Linked DNA regions of Macaca fascicularis. The main gene of each other region encodes a partner of the protein of the gene in region 3 in a complex. Links are inferred from orthologs where the notes say so. Each region holds a gene or a part of one and is shown on either strand. Other genes may lie near its edges.

Region 1 (6,137 bases), on a different chromosome or scaffold from region 3:
AATACAAAAAACTAGCTGGGCGTGGTGGAGTGCGCCTGTAATCCCAGCTACTCAGGAAGCTGAGGCAGAAGAATCGCTTGTACCTGAGAGGTGGAGGTTGTGGTGAACCGAGATCACGCCACTGCACTCCAGCCTGGGCAACAAGAGTGAAACTCCATCTCAAAAAAAATAAATAAATAAGGCTGGGCACGATGGCTCATGCCTGCAATCCCAGCACTTTGGGAGGCCAAGGTGGGCGGATCACGAGATCAGGAGTTAGAGACCAGCCTGACCAACATGGTGAAACATCAGCCTTCCAAAGTGCTGGGATTATAGGCGTGAGCCACCATGCCCAGCCAAGTACAATGGTTTTATAGCATAATTTAATAACAATTAACATTGTATTTGTCATATATTATGTATATAAATATCATGACAATTTTTTTTTTTTTTAAGACAGTCTCACTCTGTCCCCCAGGCTGGAGTGCAGTAGTGTGACCTCAGCTCACTGCAACCTCTGCCTCCCGTGTACAAGCGACTGGGATTACCGACACGTACGCCACCACCCCTGGCTAATTTCTGTATTTTTAGTAGAAATGGGGTTTTGCGCCGGGCGCGGTGGCTCACGCCTGTAATCCCAGCACTTTGGGAGGCCGAGACGGGCGGATCACGAGGTCAGGAGATCGAGACCATCCTGGCTAACACGGTGAAACCCTGTCTCTACTAAAAAATACAAAAAAAAAACTAGCCGGGCGTGGTGGCGGGCGCCTATAGTCCCAGCTACTCGGGAGGCTGAGGCAGGAGAATGGCGTGAACCCGGGAGGCGGAGCTTGCAGTGAGCTGAGATCCGGCCACTGCACTCCAGCCTGGGCGACAGAGCGAGACTCTGTCTCAAAAAAAAAAAAAAAAAAAAAAAAAGAAATGGGGTTTTGCCGTGTTGGCCAGGATGGTCTCGAACTCCTGACCTCAAATGATCTGCCCACCTCAGACTCCCAAAGTGCTGGGACTATAGATGTGAACCACCGCACCCGGCCTACCATGAGAAATTTTTTTTTTTTTTTTTTTTTTTGAGACAGAGTCTCGCTCCGTCGCCCAGGCTGGAGTGCAGTGGTGTGATCTTAGCTCACTGCAAGCTTCACCTCCCGAATTCACGCCATTCTCCTGCCTCAGCTCCCGAGTAGCTGGGACTACAGGCGCCCACCACCATGCCCAGCTAATTTTTTGTATATTTTAGTAGAGATGGGGTTTCACCATGTTAGCCAGGATGGTCTCGATCTCCTGACCTTGTGATCCACCCGCCTCGGCCTCCCAAAGTGCTGGGATTACAGGCGTGAGCCACCGTGCCCAGCCGTGAATTTCTAACATTCTTTTAGTTCTCTGTACATGCTAAGGGCATCGGCTGCATCATTTCATCCAATTTTATCATCAGCGACCTTATGAGGCAGGCACATAATTATCCCCATTTTACAGAAAGGAAGACTGAGGCCCAGGCAGCAGAAAACGCCTCTCCATAAATACCCGGCTGGTAAGTTTCAGAGCCAGGAAACCAGGTCTTCCAGAGACTCTAAGAGCTGCCTTTTTAACCTCTCCCAGGCCTGGGTAGAATTGGAAGACTCCCTGAGGAGGTGTGCTTGCCTGGGCCACGATGAATGAGAATTTGACCAGTGAGATGGGAATTCTGTGTGCAGCCACTGCATGCCTTTGCAAGAGGTCCAGCCTGGGGATCCAGGACTTGCAGTTGGACGAAAGAGTTTCCTCTACCTCTGGGCTAAGGGCAAGGAGAAGGGACGGGTGCTCACCTCAGGGTGAATACACAAGTTTTTGCGGGAGCTCAGAGCCAGCCCCAGAAATGGCAGCTTCTCGCCCTCCTGCTTCTCATAGAAGTTGAGCAACTTTCGAAGCTCTTCGATCACCTACTCCAAAGTTGGGGGGGGCAGGGGGAGCTTGTGTTCATTGGAGGCACAAACCCCTGCCCTGCCAGGCCCCAGCCTCTTCCCGAGCTTCCCAGACACCCCCGAAAGCTGGTGATGGCCACCACCAGGGGGACCAATAGGGCCTAGGGAACAGTGGAGCTGGAGCACCAGGATGAGTCCGGGCTCACCTTCTCAATCTCCGGCACAGTTCTTGAGCAGTAGATGAGTTTGGTCACCTCCAGCGGATATGCCTGCCGATAACAAGTGGACTCAGTCCCTGTCCTATCCCTTCTTTTGTCTGCCTTTACGGGTTCAATGCATCACTCACCCGCTGGTATGCCATGATCAGGGCCAACAGGGACACTGTCTTCCCAGTGCCTGAGGGCATCTCCAGGACTCCATGACCCTGCATGTTGGGAACCAGAGGGACAACACACAGGGTCTCAGAACCTCGGGCACACAAACTCTGGGGACTCTCCCCGACCTCCAATGCCACCAACTTGGAACAGCAGGATAACACAGCAGCAGTTAAAATTGGGCAGTGGGGTTCAAATCCACTTCTGCCTCCTCCTTGTTGAGTGGTCTTAGGTGAGTACCTTCACCTCCCCAGACCTCAGTATCCCTACCTCTAAAATGGGCCTAAGGCCGGGCATGGTGGCTCACGCCTGTAATCCCAGCACTTTGAGAGGTCGAGGCAGGTGGATCACCTGAGGTCAGGAGTTCGAGACCAGCCCGGCCAATATGGTGAAACCCCTTCTCTACTAAAAATACAAAAAATTAGCCGGAAGTGGTGGCGTGCACCTGTGATTTTGTCTCAAAAATAAATAAATAAAATAAAATGGGCCTAATAATAAAACCTTCCTCATAACATGACTGTGAAGATTAGTGAGAAATTGCACATTAAATATTTAGCACAGTAGCTGATATATAGTGAACTTTTCTCCCTTCTTTTTTCAGAGACAGGTCTCACTCTGTTGCCCAGACTGGAATGCAACAGCACAATCATGGCTCACTGCAGCCTCCAACTCCTGGCCTCAAGCGATCCTCCTGCCTCAACCTCCCAAGCAGTGGGGACTACAGGCAAGCACCACCACACCCAGCTAATTTTCTAATTTTTTGTAGAGATAGGATCTTGCTGTGTTGCCCAAGTTGGTCTCCAATACCTGGCCCCAAGTGATCTTCCCGCCTCCACCTCCCACCAAAGTGCTGGGATTACAGGCACGAACCACCGCGCCCAGCCTATTGACCATTATTATTTATTTTTGAGACCGAGTCTCACTCTGTCGCCCAGGCTGGAGTGCAATGTGGCACTCTGTCGCCCAGGCTGGAGTGCAATGGCGCCACGTCGGCTAGCTGCAACCTCTGCTTCTCGGGTTCAAGCGATTCTCCTGCCTCAGCCTTCTGAGTAGCTGGGATTACAGGCGCCCGCCACCACACCTGGCTAATTTTTGTATTTTTAGAAGAGACGGGGTTTCACCACGTTGGCCAGGCTGGTCTCGATCTCCTGACCTCAAGTGATCCGCCCTCCTCGGCCTCCCAAAGCGCTGGGATTACAGGCGCGAGCCACCGCGCCCAGCCTATTCACCATTATTATTTTAGATAACGGAAGATTATGGGGTCCTGGATTTCCAAGGACCTCCTACTTCTAAAATCCAGACGTCCTGCAATCTGTCTTAGGCTCAGGCGTGGCAGCCCCACCGGTCGAGTGGGCGGGTCGGGCCCACCGGCCACCCACCTTGGCGTCCAGCGTGCGTTTGAGCTCCCGCATGTAGGAGAACTGCTCGGGGTAGATGTAGTCGTAAGGGAAGTAGACCAGGAGCCCGTCCACGTTGAGCCTGGCGGCAGCGGCTGCTGGGTCAATCCCCGTCCCCTCAGCCCCTCTCCCGCCTCCACACTGCCCGGTCGTCGGGCCCAGAAGGGTGACCTGCCCGGCGCCCCTGGTAACCCTCAGGTCCTCAGGAGCCTCAGTGCCTCCTCGCTATCACCGCTGTTCCCTGCGGCTGCCCCCTCCCCACCCCTTCACCCTCCCCTGGCCCCACTGGGGACCCAGGCACGCCCACCGGTGACCCCATCTTCAAGACACCCCCGCGCCCGCTCGCGAGCCGCGACCCCCCGGCCCCCTTCTCACTTCATGGCGCCTGCCGGAGTGTGCAGTGGCGTCCACCCGCCTCCCTCATGAATATTTAGCGAGAGGCCGGGTCGTGGACATCCTCAAGAGCTCGCTCCACCTATATTACAAGACCATTGGCTGATCTGCCCGTCAATCCGCTAGGGCAGAGCCAATCGGGATACTGCGCGTGCGCACGGATAAGCGAGGGCTGCTGACTCTCGGGAGAGGCGGTGCGGGAGGCGTCACTGAGGATCGTCGAGGGCCAATCAAAAAGAAAACATGGAAGGGAGAGATCCGAGAGAATCGATCTCATTCGCTAGAATTTGGTCCTCCTGCGCCTGCCAAGATTGAGTATTGATCGAACCCAGGAGTTCGAGATCAGCTTGAGCAAGATAGCGAGAACCCCCGCCCCTCCACCTGGTCTCAAACAAACAAACAAAAAAAATTCGTCTCAGTAGCGAATAGAGATTCTAACGGAGAATGACAGGGACACTGGTGATCCTTTCTGGGCCCGAGAGTTAGAAATGGCTTTGCAGCACCAAAAATGCATTTATAAAATACCTGCTGTAAAACAAAAAAAGTAATACAAATAATTTTTAAATAACATAAAATAAAAACAAATGAATGAAAACAAAGCAAAATAAAATAATATACATGGTCAAAATGATATAAAATACAGGATGTATCCCAGACTTCTGTGGTATAAATAACTTATAAACAGCTCTTCCTATTTATTGAGCACCTACTTTTTGCCAAATACTGTGATAGGTGTTTTAATAAGGGAATAACGAAAAGGCAGTGTGGTTTAGTGGCTAAGTTGTGGGCTCTGGAACCAAAATTCCTGGGTTCATAATCCTGGCTTCACTTTTGTTGCCCAGGCTGGAGTGCAATGGCATGATCTCAGCTCACTCAAACCTCCACCTCCCAGGTTCAAGCAATTCTCCTGCCTCAGCCTACAGATTAGCTGGGATTACAGGCACACCACCACACCTGGCCAGTTTTTGTATTTTTTTTAGTAGAGATGGGGTTTCACCATGTTGACCAGGATAGTCTTGATCTCTTGACCTCGTGATTCGCCCGCCTTGGCCTCCCAAAGTGCTGGGATTACAGGTGTGAGCCACCACACCTGGCCTGGGGTTACACTTTTGTATCTGCAAAGTAGTTAACAATCAGACTATCTACAATGCTACATTGTAGCATTACAATAATCTAATTGTTAATTAGAGACTATTACTATTGTTAATTACATATTACTATTGTAGATAGTCTGTTAATTAGGTGAGTTAATTTCAGATCACATAAAGCAGTTAAAACTGGGTTTAGCACATACTAAGCATTCAATAAATGCTAGTTTTGGCTGGGCATGATGGCTTACACCTGTAATCCCAACATTTTAGGAGGCCGAGGTGGGTGGATCACCTGAGGTCAGGAGTTCGAGACCAGCCTGACCAACATGGAGAAACCCCGTCTCTACTAAAAATACAAAATTAGCCAGGCATGTTGGCATGTGCCTGCAATCCCAGCTACTCGGGAGGCTGAAGCAGGAGAATTGCTTGAACCTGGGAGGGAAAGGTTGCAGTGAGCCGAGATGGCGCCATTGCACTCCAGCCTGGGCAACAAAAGCAAAACTCCATTTCAAATAATAATAATAAAATAAAACATAAATGCTAGTTTTTGTTTCTTCAACAAATAGCTATGTGACATCTACCATGTGCCTGATCCTGTGCTGGCCCCTGGGAACAGAAAGGTGACCATGACAGCCTCAGCAACTGCCCTCAAAGAACAGATTTTTTTCTCTTTTTTTTCTCGAGACAGGGTCTTGCTCTGTCGCCGAAGCTGGAGTGAAGTGGCACAGTTACAGCTCACTGCAGCCTCCACTTCTTGGGCTCAAGTGATCCTCCCACCTCAGCCTCCTGAGTAGCTAGGACCACAGGTGTGCACTACCAAGCCCAGCTAATTTTTATTTTTTTAATTTTTTTAGGAACAAGGTCTCACCACGTTGCCCAGGCTGGTTAAACTCTCGGGTTCAAGTGATCCTCTCCCCTCAGCCTTTCAAATTGTTGGGATTACAGGGGTGAGGCACCAGGCCTGGCCTCAAAGAACAGATATAAACATACAAATAAATATATGATTAC
Region 2 (5,868 bases), on a different chromosome or scaffold from region 3:
ATTCTCTCTTCCTCTTCCTGACTTCTTTCTGTCCACTTACCTCATCCATTGTCTTGTAACATGGTGGGTTGGAGTTAGGATCAAACTCCATCTCTGAAGGGATGGACTGAAAGGAAAGTGAGATTAGGGTAGCACTTTAAAAGGATGCTTCAGTAGATGGTAATGAATGGGTATCTCTCTTCCTCAGCCCCACCCAGTGTGCCTAGACTTACATGTCGAGAGATGAAGCAAGACATGGGTCCAATTTCTGTGAAGAGTCCAACCTAGAAAAAAATGAGTGATCTTATGGTCATGCACGGTGGCTTATGCCTATAATCCCAGCACTTTGGGGGGCCGAGGCGGGTGGATCATGAGGTCACAAGTTCAAGACCAGCCTGACCAACATGGTGAAACCTTGTCTCTGCTAAAAATACAAAAATTAGCTGGGTGTGGTAGCGCACCTGTAATCCCAGCTACTCAAGAGACTGAGGCAGGAGAATCGTTTGAACCCGGGAGGCGGAGGTTGCAGTGAGCCAGATCTCGCCATTGTACTCCAGCCTGGCAACAGAGCAAGACTCCGTCTCAAAAAAAAAAAAAGAGTGATCTTGCTTTTCTTTGTCCCCTCAAGTGTTGTGTTTTTGTTTTTTGCTTTCTAAATTTTGAGACAGGTTCTCACTGTTGCCCAGGTTGGAAAGCAGTGGTGTAATCACAGCTCACTGTACCTTTGAATTCCTGGGCTCAAGCAATCCTCCCACCTCAGCCTTCCAAGTAGCTGAGACCACAGGTGCACACCACCATGCTAGGCTAATTTTTTAAAACTTTTTGTAGAGACAGAGTCTTGCTATGTTGCCCAGGCTGGTCTCAAACTCCTAGGCTCAAGCAATCTTCCCACTTCTGCCTCCCAAAGCACTGGGATTATAGGTGTAAGCCAGCACACCCAGCCCTCTTCTCTTTTTTTTTAAGCTTTCATTTGTATTTATTTATGTATTTATTTTGAGACAGAATCTCGCTCTGTTGTTCACTCTGGAGTGCAGTGGTGCAATTTCAACTCACTGCAACCTCCACCTCCCACGTTCAAGTGATTCTCATGCCTCAGCCTCCCGAGTAGCTGGGACTACATGCACATGCCACGATGCCTGGCTAATTTTTGTATTTTTAGTAGAGATAGGGTTTCATCATATTGGCCAGGCTGGTCTTGAACTCCCAACCTCAGGTGATCTGCCCACCTCAGCCTCCCAAAGTGCTGGGATTACAGATGTGAGCCACCATGCCCAGCCTAACCTTTCATTTTAAAGTATTAAAGAGCTTAGGCCTGTTAGTCCAAGATTTGAACACCTGTTGGCCACATGATCTTGGCCAATACACTTAACTTCTTCTAAGCTTCAGCTTCTGTAAAAAGCACCCACTGGCCGGGGGCAGTGGCTCACGCCTACAATCCCAGCACTTTCGGTGGCTGAGGCAGGCAGATCACCTGAGGTCAGGAGTTTGAGACCAGCCTGACCAACATGGAGAAACCTCATCTCTACTAAAAATACAAAAATTAGCTGAGCGTGGTGGCGCATGCCTATAGTCCCAGCTACCTGGGAGGCTGAGGCAGGAGAATCACTTGAACCCAGAGGCGGAGGTTGTAGTGAGCCAAGATTGTGCCACTGCACTCCAGTCTGGCGACAGAGCTAAACTCCATCTTAAAAAAAAAAAAAAAAGGAAAGCACCCACCTTTTAGTCATTGTGAGTCTCTGCACTTCACCTGGCCCACAGTCACTACTCAATCAACACAGGCTTTTATTGTTATGACTATTAATGTTGACTCTTGCCCTCTGAGTTGGGCAGGGAAGATTACCATACAATTTGAAAGTGCAGCACAAGAAGTAAAGTGATGGCTAGGCGTGGTAGCTCACACCTGTAATCCTAGCGCTTTGGGAGGCCGAGGAAGGCAGATTGAGCTCAGGAGTTCGAGATCAGCCTGGGCAACATGGCAAAACCCTATCTCTACTAAAAAAATACAAAAACTTAGCCGGCAATGGTGGCACCTGCCTTTAGTCCCAACTACTTGGGAGGCCGAGGCAAGAGACTCACTGGAACCCAGAAGGCAGAGGTTTCAGTGAGCCAAGATGGCACCACTGCACTCCAGCCTGGGCGACAGAGCAACACTCCGTCTCAAAAAAAAAAAAAGAAGTAAAGTGACTTAGCTGAAGGCACAGTTATGAAGTGGAGCCAGGACCCAACCCAGATCTACTGAGAGACTACCCCAATGCCTCCCCTACGTATGGTCTCACCTTGTTGACCTGAGTTACAACAGCATCCACGACCTCCCCTTTAAAGGGCCGGAAAACAATGGCCTTGTACTTAACTGGATAAAGGACAAAGCCTCGGCCTGGCTGGATCACACCAGCACCAATATTGTCAATGGTGGTGACAGCAATTACAAAGCCATACCTGCAAGGAGGATGAGAAACAGAAAGACATTGTGTGTCCAAGAGCCTCTAGAGACATCTGCAATAAAAGTCACTGAGCTCTTGGGAGTAGTGTCGGGGAGAGCAAAAGGACAAGTAGATAGCACCTCTGCTCCCAGAGAGCTTAATGACCAAGAGAAGACAGAACACAGATCAGTATGGGCTGGGCGCGGTGGCTCAAGCCTGTAATCCCAGCACTTTGGGAGGCCGAGACGGGCGGATCACGACGTCAGGAGATCGAGACCATCCTGGCTAACCCGGTGAAACCCCGTCTCTACTAAAAAATACAAAAAACTAGCCAGGCGAGGTGGCAGGCGCCTGTAGTCCCAGCTACTCGGGAAGCTGAGGCAGGAGAATGGCCTGAACCCGGGAGGCGGAGCTTGCGGTGAGCTGAGATCAGGCCACTGCACTCCAGCCTGGGCCACAGAGCGAGACTCCGTCTCAAAAAAAAAAAAAAAAAAAAAAGAACACAGATCAGTATGTATAAGACCAAATGCTGTTCTGGTAATTTCACAGTAAATGTACAAGAAGGCTGGAGTCCTTGAGGAAACAGATCTCAATCTTCGGGATGCCTGAGAATCATCTTCTTAAAATGCAGATTCTCAGGTCTGCCTCACAGAGTCTTGATTCTGTAGGGAATAAGGAGGCTCAGGAATCTGCATGTTCCTGCAGGTTTTTCTGATGCTGGAGGCCCAAGTACTCCACTGCCCTGGGCTGGGTCCCAGCTCATTAATATCACAGAAGGCCCTCAGTGCAAAGCCCAGAGATGGTCAAGTCCCAGTCTACTTCCTTCCTCCCCCAAACTTTCGATCCACTTTTTCTGGTCATCCATTCAGAAGATATATAGAGGCCCACGGTGTGTGGTCCCTGGACACAGGGGATAAGAGAAAACCAGCAGAATGACAGAGTGAGAGGAGACACAGGAACAATGACTACACTGTGAGCTCCACAAGAGCTGGCCTCATTCTATCTTGTTCCCATTCTACCTTGTTCTGAGCCCAACACGGGTCCTGGCACACACCAAGTGTTTTTAAAATGTCTGAGGAGTAAATGAATGAATGACCAATCTCAGCTGAGGGAAGGAAGTCTTATTGTCCAGCATTGCAGAGGGCGCCCTGGGAACCCAAAGCAGGAAGCAACTGGCTGCCTGAGAGGGTGAGCGGGGTCCCTAGAGTGGGTGGCAGGACTAAATAGGAGTTGCGGAGGGTTTGCAGGTATAGCGACCCGTGTGCGCATCGAACGATCTGGCGGCACGGTGAGCTCGGCACTCACTTCCCTGTGCAGGTCCCCTCCACTTCGGTGAAGAGCTTCTGCTTCACCGTGTTGAGCAAGTTGGGGCCGAAGTAGCGCGGGTGCAGCAGGATTTCGTGCTCTAGGGAGATCTGCGGAGAAAAGAGGGATGGCGACCAGGCCACGCGCTGGGAGCTTATCAGACGACAAGGGGAGCCTCGCGCCGGCGCCTGGCCTTGCTCCTCCTTTCCACCCAGCCCTTGCCGCCACCCTGGGCCCTGCTCACATGGTAGAACATCTTCCCAGAGCATGAAGGCAGGAACAGTCCACACCTCCGACCGCCCCTGGGAATCTACCGGAAACACACTTAGCCGCCGCAACCCCAGTTCCGCGCCTGCTGCGTCGTTGAGAGCGGAACTCCACCTCCTCAGCGAGGGCGGAACTCCACCTGCTCCACGGGTCTGATTGGGCCTTGTAGCCGTGGGCGTGAACCACTAAGCCCCGCCCCTCACCACCGCCCCGCCCCCCCACCGGCCATCAAACCACAACTCTCTTTTTTTTGTTTTGAGACGGATCTGGCTCCGTCTCCCAGGCTGGAGTGCAGTGGCGCGATCTCGGCTCACTGCAAGCTCCGCCTCCCGGGTTCGGGCCATTCTCCTGCCTCAGCCTCCCCAGTAGTTGGGACTACAGGCGCCCACCACCGCGCCCGGCTAATTTTTTGTATTTTTAGTAGTGACGGGGTTTCACCGGGTTAGCCAGGCTGGTCTTGATATCCTGACCTTGTGATCCGCCCTCCTCAGCCTCCCAAAGTGCTGGAATTACAGGCGTGAGTCACAGCGCCCGGCCAATTTTGTGTTTTTAGTAGAGATGGGGTTTCTCCATGTTGGTCAGGCTAGTCTCAAACTCCCAACCTTAGGTGATCCACCCACCTCGGCCTCCAAAAGTGCTGGAATTACAGGCGTGAGCCACTGTGCCCGGCCAGCAACTCTCTGAATTGCTTGAACCTGGGAGGCCACTGCACTCCAGCCTGGGCAACAAAAGCGAAACTCCATCACAAAAAATAATAATAAATAATAGCTACCACTTACTGCTTTCTTCCTAAATGCCAGACACTGTGTTAAGCCCTTTATATAATTATCTCCCTTAATTCTCATAATAATCTACAGAAATTGGTGTAGAAATAACAAAAAATTTACATGAGCCTTAGTCGAAAGGCCAGGAAACTACAGAAAATAATGAAATTTAGGCTGAGCGCAGTGGTTTACGCCTGTAATCCCAGCACTTTGGAAGGCGGAGGCGGGCAGATCATGGGGTCAGGAGATTGAGACCATCCTTGCTAACACGGCGAAACCTCGACTCTACTAAAAATACAAAAAATTAGCCGGGCGTGGTGGCATGTGCCTGTAGTCCCAGCTACTCAGGAGGCTGAGGCAGGAAAATCGCTTGAACCCGGGGGGCGGAGGCTGCGGTGAGCTGAGATCGCGCCACTGCACTCCAGCCTGGCAACAGAGCAACACTAAGAAAGAACGAAAGAAAGAGAGAGAGAGAAAGAAAAAATTTAAAAGCTATTGCAATCCCAAAAAATATTTTAAGCCTCGAGAGAGATATGACTGTGAGTCACATATAGTTTACAACTTCTGTTCTCAGATTATAGATTAATTCACTTTCTTTTTTTTGAGAGGGAGTCTCGCTGTGTCACCCAGGCTGGAGTGCAGGAAATCCATGACTATTTCATCCTCTGTTAAAAAAATGTTACATACCCCCGGCACCATGGCTCACGACTGTAATCCCGGCTACTTGGGAGACTGGGGCAGGAGAATTGCTTGAACCCGGGAGGCAGAGGTTGCAGTGAGCCGAGATCGTGCCACTGCACTCCAGTCTGGGAGACAGAGCAAGATTCCCTCTCAAAAAAAAAAAAAGTTACATGTGAATCACAAGGTCAGAAGTTCAAGACCAGCCTGGCCAACATAGTGAAACCCCATCTCTACTAAAAATACAAAAAATTGGGGCCGGGCGCGGTGGCTCAAGCCTGTAATCCCAGCACTTTGGGAGGCCGAAACGGGTGGATCACAAGGTCAGGAGATCGAGACCATCCTGGCTAAGACGTTGAAACCCCGTCTCTACTAAAAAATACAAAAAAATAGCCAGGCAAGGTGGCGGGCGCCTGTAGTCCCAGCTACTCGGGAGGCTGAGGCAGGAGAACCGC
Region 3 (5,837 bases):
CATCAAGAAGGTGTGAAGCAGGCATTGGAGGGGGCTCCCTCAAGGGCATCCTGGGCTACACTGAGCACCAGGTGGTTTCCTCTGACTTCAACAGCAACACTCACTCTTCCACCTTCAATGCTGGGGCTGGCGCTTTGTCAAGCTCATTTCCTGGTATGACAATGAATCTGGCTACAGCAACATGGTGGTGGACTTCATGGCCCACATGGCCTCTAAGAAGTAAGACCCCGGACCACCAGCCCCAGTGAGAGAACAAAAGGAAAAGAGAGGCCCTCATGCTGGGGAGTCCCTGCCATACTCAGTCCCCAACCACACTGAGAATCTCCCCTCCTCAGTTTCCATGCAGACCCCCTGAAGAGGGAGGGGCCTAGGGAGCTCTGCCTTGTCGTGTGCCATCAATAAAGTCCCCTGTGCTCAGCCAAAAGAAAAGATACTCAAAATTCCAGAAATAGCACTTCATTAGGCCAGAACAGTACAGGTCCTGGATATTTTGCTTTTTTGGTAAACAATCTACTACTATATTTGTTTTTCCCTAAACACACTATTTATCCCCAGTCTTGCTGGCAAGGTTTTTTTTTTTTTTCCTTTTCAGATAGGGTTTCACTCTGTCGCCCAGCCTAGAGTACAAGGGGTGTGATCTCAACTCACTGCAGCCTCAACCTCCTGGGCTCAAGTGATCCTCCCACCTCAGTCTCCCAAGTAGCTGGGACTACAAGCGTATGCCACCATGCCCAGCTAACTTTTTGTAGTTTTTGTACATAAAAGGTTTTGCTATATTGCCCAGGCTGGTCTCAAATTCCTGGGCTTAAGCAATTCGCCCACCTGGTCCTCCCAAAGTGCTGGGATTCCAGGCATGAGCCACTGCACCCGGCCTTCCATAAGCTCTTCTTGAAAGCTTGTTTGGAGGTTCCAGCAGGGGAGTACAGCCACACATATACCAGTCCTCCTCTATCGGGATGGTCATCCTCTTTGATCAAGGGTGCAGCTTCAGGAGGGACATACATGGAGTGGAGTGGGAGGAAGGGGACACCCACCTAGCCAGCCAGATTAGCCAAATCAACCCTGGTGATCAATGGGGTGACAGATGTCCCAGCCAGATCACACTCACATCCAATTTATTTATTTATTTATTTATTTTTTGAGACAGGGTGTCACTCTAGTTGCCCAGGCAGGAGCGCAGTGGCACAATCTCGACTCACTGCAACCTCCAAACAGGCTCTTCTTAAACATCACCTTCTCTATGATGTCTTTCCAGTTCTGGTGAAGCATTAATTTTTTTCCTGCTCAAAACTCTAAGAGATCTTGTATGTACAGTCCTTACTGCATTTACACAGTTCTGTAACTGGTGATGGAATTAAATATGTACAAGATGACCTTGATATATCCTAGGAAGAAACATTTTTCAGCAACAAAGATCAGAACTCAAGGTATTATTTTTAACAGAAAATATTAATGTAAGGAGAAAAAACTTGAAATCAATACGTAGTTCAAATAAAATTCTGATGAGATGAGAATGAAGACACACTTTCTAAGCAACAAGTTACTACTTCTTTTTTTTTTTTTTTCTGAGATGGAGTTTTTGTTCTGTTGCCCAGGCTGGAGTGCAACGGAGCAATCTCAGCTCACTGCAACCTCCGCCTCCCAGTTTCAAGCAATTCTTCTGCCTTAGTCTCCTGAGTAGCTGGGAATACAGGCGCATGCCACCACAACCGGCTAATTTTGGTATTTTTAGTAGAGATGGGATTTCACCATACTGGCCAGGCTAGTCTCAAACTATTGACCTCATGATCCACCTGTCTCGGCCTCTCAAAGTGTTGGGATTACAGGTGTGAGCCACCGTGCCCGGCCCAATCCTGTGATGATTTTCTAAATGTGACTCTGGTTACTTACCCTCCCCTCTAATTCGTACTGCACACTGCCAAACTTTTTTTTTTCTGAATAAATATTTGGCATCTCTCCCTCACTCAAATCCTCCAAAAAGTTTGTTACTTCCTTGTAAACTAAAGTTAGAACATCTCCGTTTCATGATATGACAATCTGAGTATATGGTCCCAACCTTTATCTACACAGATCTTCTGCTCTAGGTTCTCTCTGTTTTCCACGACACACCATGCTGATTATGTATTCTGAGTCTTGCATTTCTGTTCCATTCCCCATGGTATACGCTATGTCCACCCACCCAAATCCTGTAAGGCGTAAACACTGAGCATTTACCATGCTCCTAGAACAATGGCACCATCTCAAGTCACACCATTTTTTCAAGCTTTTTCCTTCAGTCTGCAAGGGCCATCTCCTCCTTAGTGACTCTCCTCCAGTTAACACGCTGCTGGAGAGAGAAATGCCTATTTAATTCATCCTTTTAAGTCACACTGAGCTTGGAAATAAGTCAAATCAGTGCCACAGATTAAGGCGAGGGTTAAAGAATGAGAGGTCATGCATTTATTCATCACCTTTTTGTTGAGTAATTACCATGTGCCAAACACTATTCTGGGTATGACAGGCAAAGATCCAATCTCATGGAATGTGATTTTGTGTGTTGGAAAGACGGAGGTAACCAACTTTGAACATATTAACACAAAATCACTCTACACTGTGAAAAGTGCTTTGAAGAATGTAACGGCCAGGCGCGGTGGCTCACGCCTGTAATCCCAGCACTTTGGGAGGCCAAGGCGTGCGGATCACGAGGTCAGGAGATCGAGACCATCCTGGCTAACACGGTGAAACCCTGTTTCTACTAAAAATACAAAAAATTAGCCGGGCGTGGGGGCGAGTGCCTGTAGTCCCAGTTATTCGGGAGGCTGAGAGAGGAGAATGGCGTGAACCTGGGAGGCGGAGCTTGCAGTGAGCCAAGATCGCACTACTGCACTCCAGATTGGGCGACAGAGCAAGACTCTGATTCAAAAAAAAAAAAAAGAAAAAAAGAAAAGAAAGAATGTAATACGGATCTGTCGTGTTAGCAAATGATCATAAGGGAGCCATTTTTAAGAAGGCCGACAAGAAAGACCTCTTAGATTTAATTGACGAGAACTCAGCCATATGATAAATCAGTTAAAGCATTAAGAAACCGAAAGTCCTTACATTTTAAGTCTCAACGACTTTCAGGATCACATTTTGAATTTGCTTAAGTATTATGAAACTCCCCTAGGAGAAAACACTCCCCAATATGAAACAGTAAAGCACAAATAGTGCCCGCTGTGAGCCAACCAAAATTGCTGTCTTTACATAAAACATTTATTGACGGCCAGTTTCATCAGACCCAAATGTGCTCTGAAAGAATACTCCAGTCCAATGACCTCTCCTGACCTCTCCTTCTGTTTGTTCAGGGCTCTCTCGCCTCTTTTGAGAGCTTCATTAAGGACCATTTACCTAAGAGAATACTTTAAGAGTACGCAGGGACCAGTTCTAGTTTCTCGCCGAAAAAACTGTACAGAAAGCAGACATTCAACTACCTCACACAGGCTCATGGCTAAAACCAGTTTCACCAAGGGAAAGATACAAGTAATTCTTCGGTCTGGGATAAAATGCACCGCCCAAGTCTAGGAACACCAAGACAGGGCTCCAGGAAAGCCGTGAGAAAGAGATCTAGTCCAGGCTGATTCAGACCAGTAACCGGCTGAAAGACACTTTGCGTCCCTAAACTAATCTCCTCATCTGCAAACAGATACAACAATGACTCATGCCTCTCAAAATATGTGAAGCTCTAACGAGATAGCCGTAAAAGAACTTTAAGAGGTGCACGGAGCGGGATGGGCTCAAGTTACTTAAATTATACTTGTGTTAGGAGGAGCGCAAGTGGGAGACTCGTGAACATTACCTTGACTAGCCACACTCCTGTGTTCTGTTTGGCGCCGGTCAGGTCGAGTTCCCCGCGCTCGGCCATGGGTCTGTTGCCGGTGGACGCGTGTGGCCTACAGCAGCGACACCAGGAGCCGGAGGGCTGAGAAGTGGGCGTCCGGAACAAAGGGCAAGCCGCGCTGAGAGGTGAAGAGGCGGCGTTCCTTACCTGCCAGGACACTGGAAACCGGGGGGAAAGAGGAACACGCCGCCGGTAGCCAGACTGCGCCTGCGCACTGTACGTCCGTACGGCGCGCTGTTGCAGACAAACTTTCTGTTTCGGAAATTCCTTGGGTGGGCGTGGCTGTCAGCGTAGTGTGTATCTGAGGGATTAAAACATAGGGTAAGATGAGCCAAAACGTTAGCAACGTATTTAAAGACATGGCCAGCATAACTGAAGAAAAAGATTATCAGAACGGAAAAACGGGGTTCAAAGAGACAAAAGTTGTCAGAACGTGTCCAACCCTAGCCAAAGAGAGAGAAAGAATATTTGAAGGACAGGCTTAGGTTAGTAAATTGGCATCCCCCCTGGCCAACGTCATTAGCACAAGTGGGCACTGGGATCAGACTTGGTAGCCCTGGGTATATTGAAAACATGCCGTTTCTAGACCTGAAAAGAAAGCCGTGTTTCAGCTCAGAGGCTGCCCGAGCTCCTCTGATTAAGCAAGCAGAGCACCTCATATTCCAAAACCCGAAGGTCTGTGACGAAACGAACAAGTAAGAGACAAAACTGATCGTTTCCTCCCCTGCTTAAAGTTTTCTCTTTCTCTTCTTGCCTCTAGAATAAAATTCAATCCTCCTGCTTCAACTGGGCCCTCTTAATTTCATCCGTTTTCCCCTCCCACCATTACTCCACCATGCACCGAACCACACCAAACCCAGCAGACTTCCCGGAACACGTCAGAATCTTCCTCGGTCATTTCAGAGCCTCTGCACACTGGATTCCCTTCCTTGGAAGCCCTCTTTTACCCCTGCCCTCACTCCCACTCTTTCCTCTGGTTGGCAAACTCCTACTTATGGTTCAAGACCAATGGAAATGTCACTTCTTATGAGATCTTTTATCAACTTCCCCAGAAGAAATTAGTTTTTCTTCACATCACAGTGTGATACTTAGCACTCTGCACTATAATACATATGTTTACATATCTGCCTTTGCTTTCCAGACAACGAACTCCTCCTAGGCAGAAAGAGCTTTATTGAGGTATAATTTACAAATAAAAAATAGTGCTTTATTCATGTTATATCCACAATGTATAGCACAGTGTTTGACACATTGTCAGGTTTCAGCAGGCTTTGGGTGAAAGAACATTCGCTGAAGAGAAACAAACAGTAAGGTATTGTTAAGAAGGGCAAGTAATGTATTGAATCACACATCAGAGCCTTGCACAAAATTGAGGAAATTTTATGTGTGTTCAGCACAGGGCCAGGAAAAGCTGTCAGAACTCTGCGATTAGCTAGCAAAATTAACAGGAAAGATGGGAAGAGACCTGGAGTGTGTCGAAAATGAAAGTTTCAGTGGCTGGACCCTGTAACCCCACCTTTGGGAGGCTGAGGTGGGAGGATTGTGTCTGCCCAGGAGTTCAAGGCTACAGTGAGTCATGATCGTGCCTTGCACTCCAGCCTGGGTGACAGAGCAAGGCCCTGTCTCTGAAAAATAAATACTAAAACCAAAATTTTTTTTGGCCAGCCACAGTGGCTCACGCCTGTAATCCCAACACTTTGGGAGACCGAGATGGGAAGATCACTTGAGGGTAGGAGTTCAAGACCAGCCTGGTTAACATAGCGAGACCCCCATTTCTAAAAAGAAGAAAAAGAAAAAAAAAATTTTAAGCAGAAAATGAAGGTTTCTTCTTGTGCAACAACTTGGAAAAGGGCCTAAAACATATAAAGGGTAAGCAGATGAAGGGAACTGCTCTAAGCTTTACTCAGGTAGAAGGAATAAATTGAAATATGAGACCATGGGAGAAGAGAAGCAGAGTCTAGAGCACCCCAGGAATAAACTT

What was found.
Region 1: GTF2F2 (region 3) and ERCC2 share a complex: the UniProt entries of both Homo sapiens proteins name them as parts of the TBP-based Pol II pre-initiation complex. The link is inferred for Macaca fascicularis from reciprocal best matches to the Homo sapiens genes GTF2F2 and ERCC2.
Region 2: GTF2F2 (region 3) and POLR2G share a complex: the UniProt entries of both Homo sapiens proteins name them as parts of the TBP-based Pol II pre-initiation complex. The link is inferred for Macaca fascicularis from reciprocal best matches to the Homo sapiens genes GTF2F2 and POLR2G.

Annotation. Positions count from the first base shown.
Region 1 is NC_088393.1:53,419,204-53,425,340, forward strand, and holds the start of ERCC2 (general transcription and DNA repair factor IIH helicase subunit XPD), read right to left. Parts: upstream 4,059-6,137; 5' UTR 4,026-4,058; coding exon 4,021-4,025; intron 3,819-4,020; exon of another isoform or gene 3,728-3,818; coding exon 3,628-3,727; intron 2,299-3,627; coding exon 2,221-2,298; intron 2,144-2,220; coding exon 2,081-2,143; intron 1,893-2,080; coding exon 1,779-1,892; intron 1-1,778. UniProt on the Homo sapiens protein: ATP-dependent 5'-3' DNA helicase. Component of the general transcription and DNA repair factor IIH (TFIIH) core complex, not absolutely essential for minimal transcription in vitro.
Region 2 is NC_088388.1:11,290,577-11,296,444, forward strand, and holds the start of POLR2G (DNA-directed RNA polymerase II subunit RPB7), read right to left. Parts: upstream 4,059-5,868; 5' UTR 3,974-4,058; coding exon 3,705-3,973; intron 2,416-3,704; coding exon 2,256-2,415; intron 264-2,255; coding exon 213-263; intron 107-212; coding exon 41-106; intron 1-40. UniProt on the Homo sapiens protein: Core component of RNA polymerase II (Pol II), a DNA-dependent RNA polymerase which synthesizes mRNA precursors and many functional non-coding RNAs using the four ribonucleoside triphosphates as substrates.
Region 3 is NC_088391.1:24,364,301-24,370,137, reverse strand, and holds the start of GTF2F2 (general transcription factor IIF subunit 2), read right to left. Parts: upstream 4,024-5,837; 5' UTR 3,881-4,023; coding exon 3,815-3,880; intron 224-3,814; exon of another isoform or gene 1-223. UniProt on the Homo sapiens protein: TFIIF is a general transcription initiation factor that binds to RNA polymerase II and helps to recruit it to the initiation complex in collaboration with TFIIB.